2 linked regions of the Drosophila melanogaster genome follow. The gene in region 2 interacts genetically with the main gene of each other region. Each region holds a gene or a part of one and is shown on either strand. Other genes may lie near its edges.

The links. A genetic interaction does not mean that the proteins touch.
Region 1: of muc (region 2) and Cdc42, changing one enhances a phenotype caused by changing the other (phenotypic enhancement), as found in Drosophila melanogaster (one study listed by BioGRID).

What each region holds. Positions count from the first base shown.
Region 1 is NC_004354.4:19,695,297-19,701,298, reverse strand, and holds Cdc42 (cell division cycle 42), read right to left. Parts: upstream 4,209-6,002; 5' UTR 4,147-4,208; exon of another isoform or gene 4,074-4,146; intron 3,365-4,073; 5' UTR 3,342-3,364; coding exon 3,054-3,341; intron 2,993-3,053; coding exon 2,705-2,992; 3' UTR 1,361-2,704; downstream 1-1,360. Other genes in the region: Tcs4 (Threonyl-carbamoyl synthesis 4), read left to right, coding at 1-855. UniProt on the Drosophila melanogaster protein: Regulates mbt kinase activity and is also required to recruit mbt to adherens junctions. Together with mbt and Frl, regulates photoreceptor cell morphogenesis. Together with Frl, has a role in the neuronal development of mushroom bodies.
Region 2 is NT_033779.5:7,424,173-7,431,847, forward strand, and holds muc (midline uncoordinated), read left to right. Parts: upstream 1-2,693; 5' UTR 2,694-3,028; coding exon 3,029-3,189; intron 3,190-3,555; exon of another isoform or gene 3,556-3,601; intron 3,602-3,698; exon of another isoform or gene 3,699-3,772; intron 3,773-3,874; coding exon 3,875-4,044; intron 4,045-4,108; coding exon 4,109-4,507; intron 4,508-4,705; coding exon 4,706-4,932; intron 4,933-4,994; coding exon 4,995-5,343; intron 5,344-5,409; coding exon 5,410-5,512; intron 5,513-5,570; coding exon 5,571-5,700; 3' UTR 5,701-6,157; downstream 6,158-7,675. Other genes in the region: CG5958 (uncharacterized protein), read right to left, coding at 6,501-6,683, 6,907-7,368.

The DNA.
Region 1 (6,002 bases), on a different chromosome or scaffold from region 2:
CTGCAGAAGCCCCTGCTGCCCGTTCACCACATGGAGGCGCACGCGCTGCAGGCCCGCATGGAACATCCGGAGCAGATCGGCTACCCCTTCCTCTGCTTGCTGGCCAGCGGCGGCCACTGTCAGTTGGTGGTGGCTAACGGCCCCGGTCGCCTTACGCTTCTTGGCCAAACACTGGATGATGCGCCCGGCGAGGCCTTTGACAAGATCGGTCGGCGACTACGCCTGCACATTCTGCCGGAGTACCGCTTGTGGAACGGAGGACGGGCCATTGAGCATGCCGCCCAGCTGGCCAGCGATCCGCTGGCCTACGAGTTTCCGCTGCCACTTGCCCAGCAGCGGAACTGCAACTTCAGCTTCGCCGGCATCAAGAACAACTCCTTCCGGGCCATCCGAGCGCGCGAGCGGGCAGAGCGGACACCTCCGGACGGAGTCATCAGCAACTACGGCGACTTCTGCGCCGGCCTGCTGCGCTCTGTCAGCCGGCACCTGATGCACCGCACGCAGCGGGCAATTGAGTACTGCCTCCTGCCGCACAGGCAGCTCTTCGGTGACACCCCGCCCACACTGGTCATGTCCGGCGGTGTGGCCAACAACGATGCCATATACGCCAACATCGAACATCTGGCCGCGCAGTATGGCTGCAGGAGCTTCCGTCCATCGAAGCGGTACTGCTCCGACAACGGCGTCATGATCGCCTGGCACGGCGTTGAGCAACTGCTGCAGGATAAAGAGGCCAGCACGCGCTACGACTACGACAGCATTGATATCCAGGGCAGCGCGGGATTCGCCGAGTCGCACGAGGAAGCTGTCGCTGCGGCGGCCATAAAATGCAAGTGGATACAGCCACTGGTTTGATCACTAGCCCCTGTTGTGTTTTATACATTCTTACATAAAGTTACAGATGAATCCTTGTTCGTTGTTGAATCCTGTTTGTCTGATTTACAAATTAATAATATATTCATAATATTTTTGAGTGTGTGAGTTCTTTGGCGCTGCAGAGTTCCTACTTGCTAAGAGCCACCTTGCTAGCTCTGGTGGCTTCCGAGATCTCGACGTTTATGCTGACGAACAATAGGACATGGCCAGATAATCAAAATATAGTTTATAGTAATGGAAAAGCTTTGCCTCCACCTGTTGGCCACTTTTCCAGGAACGTAATAACTGATATGACGACAGGTCTTTATCACGCGAATCGATATAGAAATAAACAACCACAAATGAATCACAAATGCTATATAAAAATCACAATTGCATTGAATTTATGTAATTTTATACATATAAAAAGTACATTTTCGCTTGTGCATCTTTGGTGGGATGTTCCCTTTTTTTTTTTCATTTCAGGCAAGACAGTGAGTGGTTTCGTTTTGGATTTCGTTTTATTATAAGATATTATCTGAAATCAATAATGTTAAATCACTAAGGTCTAGAAAAAAAATGTAAAAATTGATAATGTGTACATATAAAAATATTAAAAAATGCATTAGTTCTTATTTTCCTTTCATCTTTTGTCGTTTTTGTTTTTTTGCTGAACTACAATACAAATGTTTGTTGCTGTTGCCGTTGTTTTATTGTTTGTTATACTTTATGGATTATACATATTTAAATATATATATATATATGTATATACTTTTATATAGATTGTAGATTTCAGATGTGTGTTTGTGTTGTGGTTGCAACGCCTAGTTCGGTTCTCGCATCTCTTGCTGATCCTTTATCTCCTCCTTTAGGTTCATTTAATTTACTTTTAATCATATTTCAATACTCATACGCTTAGTTTTATTACATAATAAGCTTCACTTTCATATCTGCATGCTAGCGAATTCCATCCGACCTCCGCTGTTTAAACATTACGCGATCAGTTATCATAAATATTTAATATAATTCTCGCACGTTGCTCCTTTCGGGACAATATCGACGTGGATTCCCGCGGATTTCATCGACTGAGGCAAAACGAATAAGTGCATGGTTCTTTTCGAATCGCCCCACATTCTGTTCTGTTCTGGATTGTTTTTTTGTTTATCGTAAATGTATATTTTTTTTTTTTTTGCCTCTCCTTAATCTTTGTATATATATATAAAGAAATATATATATATATACATATATATATATATATATTTATATATAAATCATTTGTTTTCGCTATATTGATATTGTGGTTCCTCTTTTTACTTAATTCGAAAATTGCGCCAAAAACATGTTTGGGAGCAGAAATGAAGTCGGCTGGGTTTCGATTCGATTGGCTGCGATTGGATCCTGGCGGGGATTGGAGCTGAAGCTTGTGGGGCGGAAGACTGTCCCGAGTTGGGGGCAACTGCCCAGCCGCCTGGTCACAGTGGACCAAACATAGAAACCGACCAAAATACCGGGTAGGGATTAGAGCTCTGGAGGCTGGAGCACGGACACTACTGACACAGATACGCGGACGCGCGTAAGTGGAGACACAGACGGTGTGTGAGACAAAAAGAGTAGAGTGGGAGTGGGGACACAGGCGGATGGCGGCGAGGAGAAATAGCTCATGGAGTACTGGGCTAATGCAGAATAACGTAAATCAAGACCAATATATATACATATATATATATATATGTTATATATATATATATACGGCTATATATTGAATGCTTCTCGACGACGGGAGGCTGGGAAGGAGTCATTGCGATAGTAGAAAGCCAGAATGAAAGGGATACCGCGTGTGAGGAAAGCAGAATTATAAGAATTTGCACTTCCTTTTCTTTGTGGGCTCTGGTGGCTCGAGGGCGGCCAGGATGGCCTCGTCGAATACATTTTTCAGGCCCTTCTGTGTCAAGGCCGAGCACTCCACGTACTTGACGGCCTTCAGCTCCTTGGCCAGCTTCTCGCCCTGCTCCATGGTGATGGGCTTCTGCTTGTTCTTGGCCAGCTTCTCCAGCGTGCTGTTCTCGTCGCGCAAATCAATCTGTGTGCCCACCAGCAGGAACGGCGTCTTTTGGCAATGGTGTGTAATCTCGGGCACCCACTGCAAATGCAAAATGACTCACTTACAGTCTCGCCATGGCGTAGAATAGTCTTGTACGTACCTTCTCCTTGACGTTCTCGAAGGAACTGGGACTGACCACCGAAAAGCAGACAAGGAAGACATCCGTCTGCGGATAGGAGAGCGGACGCAGCCGATCGTAGTCCTCCTGTCCGGCCGTATCGAACAGGCCCAGTGTGTAGGGCTCACCGCCGATCATCACAGTGACCGCATAGTTGTCGAACACCGTGGGCACGTACTCCGACGGGAACTTGTTGGTTGTATACGAGATGAGCAGGCATGTCTTACCCACGGCTCCGTCGCCGACGACCACGCACTTGATGGTTTGCATGTTGTGCAGAGGGGTGATGACTCCTGCGGATTAGTGGGGGTTAGTTTGCCGGATTACACTGGGGGGATGACTAGTGGGTGCGGCTTCCCTGCTCCTGCTCGTACTCCTGCCAGAGTGACCGTTCGCCAGCGGCGCCTTATCAACGAGGAGGAGCGGAGCCCAGGAGAGCGGGGCGGCAGTGTGTGTGCAATGTACATATGTACATATCTGGGCAGAATGAGCGATGACTCAAGCCGAAGAAAGAACGGAAAGAATGGAAAGCAACGGCGCACACAGATAAGCCGGACGGGCATCAGAAAATTCTGATTGGACACACATACACGCAAACACTTGCGCGCAGGGGCGCAGCGAGTACGGCAGCTTGCGGTTGTGTGTGTGCGGTGCGTGTTCACTTGGTCTAATGCAGTTTTTGCTGCACTATTACTGGCTTTATGATGGTTTATTTGGTCACGGGACTGGCCGCCCAGTCAGCTGCTGGAGCTGCCCCCTGTTTTTAGCTATAGTCGGATTTTAGACGAGATTTGCAGACAAAAAACTAAAGAAATTTGGAAGCAATTATTTATCACACACGCACACTGCGGCACGGACCACACGCACATATGACACACACACACAGGCAGGCAGGCCCGTCATCGACATTTGGTTTTCATTCACTTTTCACTGGGCAAATTGAAACGCGTTGCGATCTATACGGCGGATGCTCGTTGCGGGCACCTTTTCCGCCTTACTTACAGTTATTTAAAATTTGCAACCGCTGTCGAATCCGTTTAGTTTTCCGCTTTTCTGGGCTGGGCTCGATACGTACGGAAAACTACTATTTCCTTTTGTGTTAGCGTTCTCTCTCTCCAGCGAGCTCTTTGCGTGCGAGTGACTAGCGCGGCGTTGCCATCCCGTCGCAGTACTCCCACCCGGCTTGCATCGCAATCGGTATGTTGGTATTTTCGGTGGAAGTTCTCTGTCACTGTAAGGGCTATATATCCGACCGATCGGGCAGAGCGGGACCAATATACTGCATACAGTTGCGGTAACAATAATAAGCGGATTTCGTGTTTGTCCCAGTGTTTCTGTATTTTCTGACACTTTTTCATCATTTTACTCACTAAACTTAAATACTACAATGATTTTCAATCGAAATAAAAAAATTAGTAACAGATCTAATGGATAAAATAATTGGTAAAACAAAAAAAAACCTTCAAATTTAGGCGGTAACAAAAATAGCACTGTTTCTTGTAGTTTGCCAAAACTAAATAAAAAAATTTTTTAAAAAATTTTTAAAAAAATTTAAACAAACGGATTATATCTTAAAAACTATGTTTAAAGAATCTTAATATTTGGTTGCGTGACCTATGCTGGTAATGACAGCTGGACATCGTCTTGGCATGGACTCCACCAAGTCCTGGCACTGTTTTTGAGGAATTTTGCTTCCTGAATCCTTGACCACACCCCAAAATTCCTCGTTATTATTGGGTCTGGCTTCAGAAACCCTTTTTTCACGTCCGCCCAAAGGTTTTCGATTGGATTCAAGTCGGGTGACTGAGCAGGCCATTTCATTACTCGGATCTACTTCTGCTCAAACCACTTTGAGCTTTCTTGCTCGTGTGTTTTGGGTCGTTATCCTGTTGAAATGTCCAAACCAACGGCATTTCATCCTCGGCATATGACAGTAAATGTGCTGATCCATGATGCTTTGAATCCAATGGATTGGAACTACTCCATACCATGAAAAGCACGCCCATACCATGATGCTTGATCCCCCGTTTTTTACCGACTTAAAGGTGAAGCGAGGATTATATTTAGTGGTGGACGTCGTGGTGGACGCCGAACATAAGACCGAGAGCCTTTCCCACCAAACAACACAATTTTGATCTCATCTGACCACAAAATGTTGCACCACTTCTCCATAGGCCAGTCCTTGTGTATCTTGGCATATTCGATTCGCTTTGCCACATGCTTCACAGTCAAAAGCGGTACTTTTTTGGGGCTGCACGCATTAAGGTTGTTTTGTCTTAAGCGTTTGCGAACTGTTTCCACGCTTGCAGCTATCTGAAGCTCCTTCTTCAGTTCCGTCGCCGGCTTAAAAGACTCCTTCTTGCTTTGCCAAACCAAGCGCTTGATCTCCACGTTGGACATTGAGGGCTCTCTTCGCCGTGTTTCCTTCTTTTCGACAAACAGCAGTGCTTTGCGGATCATTTTGTTTGAACAACCGACAATGCGACCAATTTCAGCGTAGGTTTTACGTTCAGAAATCATGTTTTTAATCAAATTTCTTTTTTCGACGGTACAATGCTTTCCGCGACCCATGACTAGAGAATTTTTTGTCTTCGTTTGGAAAAAATTCAATTAAAACCTTTATTGCAACTCCTTTTTTCAAAATTTGTCGAAAAAAAAACCCAAAGCAATCACTCCTATTAATTGTATTCAGCAAATACGTGATCGGTGCTATTTTTGTTACCACAGCAAGTGCCCAAAAACAAAAAGAACCGTTACATTGAGAGAGTAAAAATTTCTTGCTCAGAGAGACAACATATGGTTCTTATTATTCATGCAATCTGACTTAAAAAAATAAAACATTTAATTATTTTTTTTGGTAAATCAACTTTCCACCTGCAGTAGTGTTATTATTTTAACCGCAGCTGTATTCATCGTGTCATCGTGAAGTAA
Region 2 (7,675 bases):
TCGAGCGACAGAGAAAGCGATACATCAACGTGGTTTCTGGAGCTTCTAGGTTTTTCTACCACCAGGAATCAAAGAACGTGAAAGAACTCTTAAAAGAGATGGCCGGAAAGAAGAACGAGGTTTATTTTTAGCATTTTGATATCACAAGGCAGCTTTTTTCGCTACACTACGAGAAAAAAATGACGCAAATGGTGACCACATGATTCTACATATTTCCATATAACCAACCCATACAGACGTAGCTTTTTTTGGGGAACTTTTTGTCGCTCAAATATTAATTTTAGATTTTTTTAACCCAGACAAAGCTCATTGTGCGCATGTGTGAGTGCATTATCGAATTTTTAGTAGGAACTTCAATTTTTTTTCGTTATTTCGTTGCTCAGGGGTTAAGGGCAACAACAAAAAACGATGGCTTGGCTAGGAAAAAGCATGTGCTGCATTTTTGCTGAATAAAAAAAGAGAAGAGCGAGGAGACACCCACACAGCATACACATACAAACAGACACATACACATACAAATGCGAAGACAGTCGGTTTTTGAGGTTAGGAATGCCCCACCCAAGCAATGGCTGCTCATTTATGTACTGCACATATATACAAATATATATATATATATATATAAATCCGTCTGTACCGCAGAAATTCGCCATTATTCACAGTCCAAAGCTGTTCGCGATCGCAGGTTTATGAGGCGTGTTGTAAAAAAAGAAGCCAGTCGAAAAGGTAGTTAAAAAATACTTTTGCAAAAATTTAAATACCCACACAGCTTTGAGAGAATTCGCGAATGTATAGAAGGCACGTGTGTGTCTCAGCTGAATTGTGTGCCTATGTACGAGAGTGTATGTGTGATCACGCACGTATATGCGGTTAGTAACAGTAGGAGAGAAAGAGAACGCGAGAGAGAGAGCTTAAAACGCCGGTTCTTTTTTTTTCCCATTTTTATGCTCACTTTTATTGCGTCTTCTTTGGCTTTCATTTCCTTTGCTTGTCTCTTTACAGCGTTTCAAATATAGAATATCAAGGGTCTGCCGAACGAAACGCAAGGAAAAGAGAATTTGCTGAATGAAATGTAATAATTCGCTGACGGATGACGTCACGTCCTATGTGGTCATTAGCACTCCAGTGGCGCAACCAGGGGGCCAATACTACGCTCCGAAATAGTTGGTAAAACCTTTGACAATCAAACCAAATTAATTCACAATTTTCAGCACTTGAAGAATGGAAGACAACAAAGTGAAAAAACCCGCAAGTTGAATCTAGATACGCCCCTGGTTCCAGTTTTCTGCTCTCATATGACTAATTTTGGCATTGTTATTGCATAAAATTCGCATGGCGTCATCATCATCAACGCGTACAACTACCAAGCTCGCAAAGATCGTTAACCCCAAAGCGACGGAGACCTAATACCAGGCACAAGGTCGACTCCCGTGACCCCCTCCCCAGAAGGGGGTCGCCATTCGCTGATGCAGTTTTGTTGCCATGCGGCGGCCAAACATCTGTCTCAGAACTGCAAATGCTGAAAAAAAAACCTGACTGGGCTTGGCTTGGACTGGCCTGGCTCTTCATCTTCAACTCCAGCCACCACAGTTCCTACTCGTTATATGTGATGATGTTCCCCCGACTGTAAAGTCTCCTACCTTGCGCGCTAATCAGTGACCGGGGCTGGTTTTTTATATACAGTCAGGTACCTGAAGTAGCGCGCGTGGTGGCAGACATATATCTCCATCTTCACCATATAAATAAGCGAAATGCTCGCAGGCGAGTCCTCGCCAGAAATCCCATGTGTATCAACTGTCTCCCATGTCTATTGTACTTCATCAGGTGCTCTGGTGTGTCTCGTAACCCGGCACATGTTGAAGTACACTCAATATGAGGCGATTTGCATACGAAAGCGACCGATACAAGTGTTCAACAAATTGCCTAATTTAAAGATGAGTAAAATATAAAAGTACTCTTTTTATTAAGTTTTTCTTAAAAATAAAATTATGGCTTCTTAAAACTGTGTTACTTTACTTTAATTGGAATCATATCTTTCACAAAGGGAACAACAAAAAATGATTATTGTTATAATCATTATATTTAATTTAATGAAACGAAAAAACATCTGTTAATGTGACTAGAAAAAATTTCAATAATATATTGTCTGATTTATTCAGTCGTCCAGTTTTGTATTTTTTTCCATGCGAGCTCCTCAAATTTCCAAACAGGTTGTGGGCTTTGGTATAAAAATAGATTGTTTATGCTCCGGAATAAATAATAACAAACCGTCCATCATCTATAATGACATTTTATTTGCGTATATAATTTCAGAGAATATTCTACATAAGAAAGTATTAATTGAATGAACTACATATACATATTTAGATAGACAAAAACATTCTTAAAATATGAGCTATTTATATATAAGCATTTTCGTAATTAGTGAATAGTGTGCATGGTGCATAACAAACTATCGAATGTCTACAAGCACGAGTAAAGTGTGACCAGACGCCTCACCGCACTCATTCCCATGCACCATTTTGTAAAAAAGCCAAATTTCCAATTGGAAAATTAAAACATCTTTTTAATATCGTTGCTTTAAAAAAAATCAATTGAATTTAAAACGGAAATGAAAATAAGAATTCAGCAAAAGATTTCGAGGTAACTAACAACAACTTCATAAATTGCTGGGTCATATGAAAAAATATCACAAAGGAGAATCTCCTTTCAAAACACTGTGATACCTCTGTCAAACATTTCGTGTACGTTTTTTGAAAATAAATTCGCTGAACCGCTAAAAAAAGTGATGGTATGTTTCGGTATATTGAATACCGCTTGCACATTTTTTGGCGTTCCGTCTGCGTTCACACTGACCTCCGTAAGGTTATCGGCATAATTTTGTAAATTTTCGACTTTGCCGTTTTTCGACTCGATTCGTTAGTCAAAATTCCGAAAGACGCGCCGCCGTTAGATCCACTTCATCAACGCGCGTTGCCACAACAGGACTTGGATTAGGATTCCCCAGGCAGACCAACGATAAAGGACGAATATGCTGCGCTCCCTTGCAACAACACGAAACGAACTTGGGGCCCTTCGCTCCGTGCTCCTGCGATCGAATAACGCCACCTATGTCCGCCGATCGACGGGAAATGTGGTTGTGCGCGCCCTCAGCAGCCAGCTGATCAACTCCCGGAAACTCCAGAGCATCAGGTAAAAATCTCCCAATTTCCCCAATTCTCCCCGCTTTCGTTGAGGTTAGAAATGGTTGTGTAATATTGCAAAATGCGTATACTGCAGCGGGATTATGTGGGACCTGTGGGGGGCGATGATTGACAGTCCCGTGTCCAACTATTTAGCATATATGTCGTATTCCCCAAAAACACTCTCACACATACCCATGCGATTTGCGTGTGTTGTGCGTGCTCCACTGCTGATTTGGTTTATGGCCAAGGTCGAATACACGCTCTCCTATATCGCATGATGCGTGATAGTGTTTCGGCTGGCTGATAAGCTAGAAAATTCCGTCTAATGATTTAATGGGTCACTCTTTTTGGGTTCCATTGTTTACATCTGACGAGTGGGCGATTGAACGCCTAAATGTGTAGATAGTACAGGAGTGTGGGTACGTAAACAACAACAAACTAACAGCTGATCGAGCGTCCATAAATTAACCCATCCAAAATGCTTTCATTAACATGGTCATTTTGTAATTATAACAGGTCATACAAAATGTACACCGTTACGAATCAGAAGGAAAAATAGTTTCCAAGGATTCTGTATACCCATATTGCAAGTAATACACCTATACTATTTATTCAATATTATGTTTTCTAATAGTGGATACAACCCAATGCAACCAACTTTAATAAACTAGTTTTGTTTGAATATCGCGCAGGTCGAAACTTAACACTAGCCAGTCACCGGTCACATGGAGCTACAACTTCGCCCGTGCCTATGCCAACCTTCCGGAACACATCAGGGTGCCACTGCCCGCACTTTCCCCGACTATGGAGCGCGGATCGATTGTCAGCTGGGAGAAGAAGGAGGGCGATAAGCTCAACGAAGGTACGTGTGATAGTTACCAAAATATCCGAGTTTCAGGATCAAATTTATGACACCCTGATTGCAGGTGACTTGCTGTGCGAGATTGAGACGGATAAGGCCACCATGGGCTTTGAGACGCCCGAGGAGGGCTTTCTGGCTAAGATTCTCATCCAGGGCGGCACCAAGGACGTTCCCGTTGGCCAGCTGCTGTGCATTATCGTGCCGGACCAAGGCAGCGTAGCTGCTTTCGCGAACTTCAAGGACGACGGTGCCGCCGCAGCACCAGCTGCTCCGGCAGCAGCTCCAGCTCCAGCACCGGCAGCAGCAGCAGCTCCGCCACCACCACCACCACCCGCCGCAGCTCCAGCAGCCGCTGCGCCTCCACCAGCTCCCGCCGCTGCTCCAGCTGCAGCAGGTACGGGCCGTGTATATGCCAGTCCCATGGCCAAGCGACTAGCCGAGGCACAACAGCTGCGTCTACAAGGTTGTTTAATCCTAACTAATGCCTCTCTTACACACATCCTGTTCCATTTCGCAATGCATGCATCACCTGACTAACATCCATCATAATCATTCGTTACAGATAACAAAACCTCCCATATACACTATCCAACCGTACAGCTTTTCATATAGCGCCCTTTGTCCAATTGTTCCGTTACTAATCCGCGGCTTTTGTGTGCAGGCAAGGGCAGTGGAGTCCATGGCTCAATTAAATCTGGTGATCTTGCAGGCCAGAAAGCAGCAGCCAAGCCAGCTGCTGCGGCACCTGCCAAGGCCCCCAGGGCAGCTGGAGCGCGCTACGAGGACATTCCGGTGACCAACATGCGCGCAGTGATTGCCAAACGTCTGCTGGAGTCCAAGACACAACTGCCTCACTACTACGTCACCGTGCAATGCCAAGTGGATAAGGTGGGTTATCACGAACAGATATACTTCTTAATTCAAATTTAATTTAAATGAAATTTTTACAGCTGCTGAAGTTCCGCGCGAAGGTGAACAAGAAGTACGAGAAGCAGGGTGCCCGCGTCTCTGTAAACGACTTCATTATCAAGGCCGTGGCCATTGCCAGTCTTAAGGTTCCCGAAGCGAACTCCGCCTGGATGGACACAGTAATTCGCAAGTACGACGACGTCGATGTTTCGGTTGCTGTCTCCACAGACAAGGGTCTGATTACCCCGATTGTTTTCAATGCCGACCGCAAGGGTGTCCTGGAGATCTCTAAGGATGTCAAGGCGCTGGCAGCCAAGGCGCGCGACAACAAACTTCAGCCCCACGAATTCCAGGGTGGCACCATCTCGGTTTCTAATCTGGGCATGTTCGGTATGGGAAATACAGTTATATAAAGCCTGGTCCAAATTTGGTAATTAATATGTTATCCTACCACAGGTGTGAACCAGTTTGCCGCTGTCATCAACCCTCCTCAATCGTGCATCCTTGCCATTGGCACCACAACGAAACAGTTGGTTGCTGATCCCGACAGTCTCAAGGGGTAAGTTTCAAATAAGGAGAATAGTACACTAACTAATATAATCTTTTTTTCTATGCAGCTTCAAGGAGGTCAACATGCTGACGGTCACCCTGAGTGCTGATCATCGTGTTGTGGATGGTGCTGTTGCTGCCAGGTGGCTGCAGCACTTCCGCGACTACATGGAGGATCCTTCCAATATGGTATTGTAAGCGGACAGAAACGACCCATCACATTTAGAGACTCCAACGAAAACAAAAAAAGGATAACAAATTTAGCATCCTCTCTTTAAGCGAGGAGTTTCAATCGACATGCAATATGTGGATATGTGGTTTCTAATCGGTGTCACATATGTAAAGTTTTAAATTGGATTTAACTCATCGGTCGCCTATATATATATATATATAGAAATTAAATTGTGTAATTATTGATGTAGTTATTGATGGTCACCGTCGTTGCCATGATTGTAGAAGAGTACACAAAATACTTGAATGATATTCGAATTAACCCACTCACCGAGCTGTAAATTTCCGTTTGATATGCAAAACGTTTTTTATGCTTTGTTCGCATATGTTGATCATGATCGAGTATGAAAATGGAAGTAGTTGAAAGTCCAAAGACGCGTTAAATAAACCCAAAACACTCACATGAACTAGCCAATTCTTAAATAAAATTGACTTTTATTTTAATTATAGTGTGTTTCAGCCTAAATTCAAACCACGATGCCTCCAAATTTAAAACATTATCTGATGGGTGTTGCATATATCAACTTTTAAGCTTTCTAGACAGTAGCTAGAGTAACAAAACTCTATTCAGCTCAAATTTAATGCTCTCAACACCCAGTCGAAAAATAATATACATTGCTTTTCCGTGGTTTATAGTATTATGTAACTAGTTTATTGCCAAAATGTTACGAACTAAGCAAACACATATTGAAAGTATTTACAAGCATAAAGTTAAGCTAATGTCAATGTAGGATGCGAATGTCAGTGTAGTATTGAAATGGGGCCAATCACCACTGGGCAGGGCCAAGCTGGCTCCACTCCTCCACATACTGGGCCTGCTGCTCCAGAGCGGGGAACCACTCGACGCCACCGTAGTCGATCGCGGGCAGAGTACCCTTGTAGTTGGCGGGCAGGACGGAGGGGTCGAGGAACTTCTGCAACGACTTCATGTCACTGCCGTGGAAGTGCATCTGTTGGAAGAAAATTATTCAATGATATATTGTTATTAATATTCATTTAAAAGGAGGGGGAAATCAGTTATGTCTAATTAATATGGTTTATATAACTTGGTTATAATTGTAAGAATCAGGTATTTTACGTTACTGATAAGATTCATTCTTCCAATGAAGAGAAATTGTAGCCTACTTTTGAGGGCAGAAGGACAAGGTAGGAGTAAGTACACGTTTTACTTACCCTATTGTTCAGCTTTTGTTTGACGAAGGGCTTGAAGAGCGACCAAACCATGTTGAAGATGAACGGCTGCTTCACGAAGTGCACCTCCTTCATGCGAAGGGGCATCGCCTCCTGGATGAATGTGAGCAATCGCTTGGAGAAGCTCGGCGACAGGGCCTTCACCTGTTTCATCGACAGTCCCTCGAAGTCCATGATGCAGACCACGCCCCGCACCTGGGTCTCCTCCTCCAGCTGGGCGGCGAGATGTACCATGTAGAGCATGCGGAACATCTCATCGCTGGTAATATCGCTGGGATCCCAGAGTTTGCCACAGTTCACGATGAGCACACGACGACCCTTCTGGTCGCAGTTCTTGAGCACATTGATCACACTGCCCTTCACGAATTTCTCCTTAACCTGCTCGACCAGGAGTCCGCGGACCAGAGAGGCGTACTCCTTGCGGAAGCTGGCTGTGGTTTTCATCTGAAAGTCATTTTCAAATTAGTCAAGAGCTTAGCAAACTTAAATTTATGTATTTTATGTGAGGATAAAAAATTTTAGTCTAGGCAACCAACTTAATTTAGCTTATTATGCTACTCGTGTAGCTAATTGAAAACTTTATATTTTTAATATTTTTATAGGGTACACATTATAAACAGAGGAATTGCCTCTATAAATCTTTGAACCGATGACGCTAACTTCTTACGGAACTAGTCATTGTAACTTCATCTGTTGGCAGGTGTGACATGGCTAGATTAGAGTCCATAATTGATAAGGTATTGACCATTGG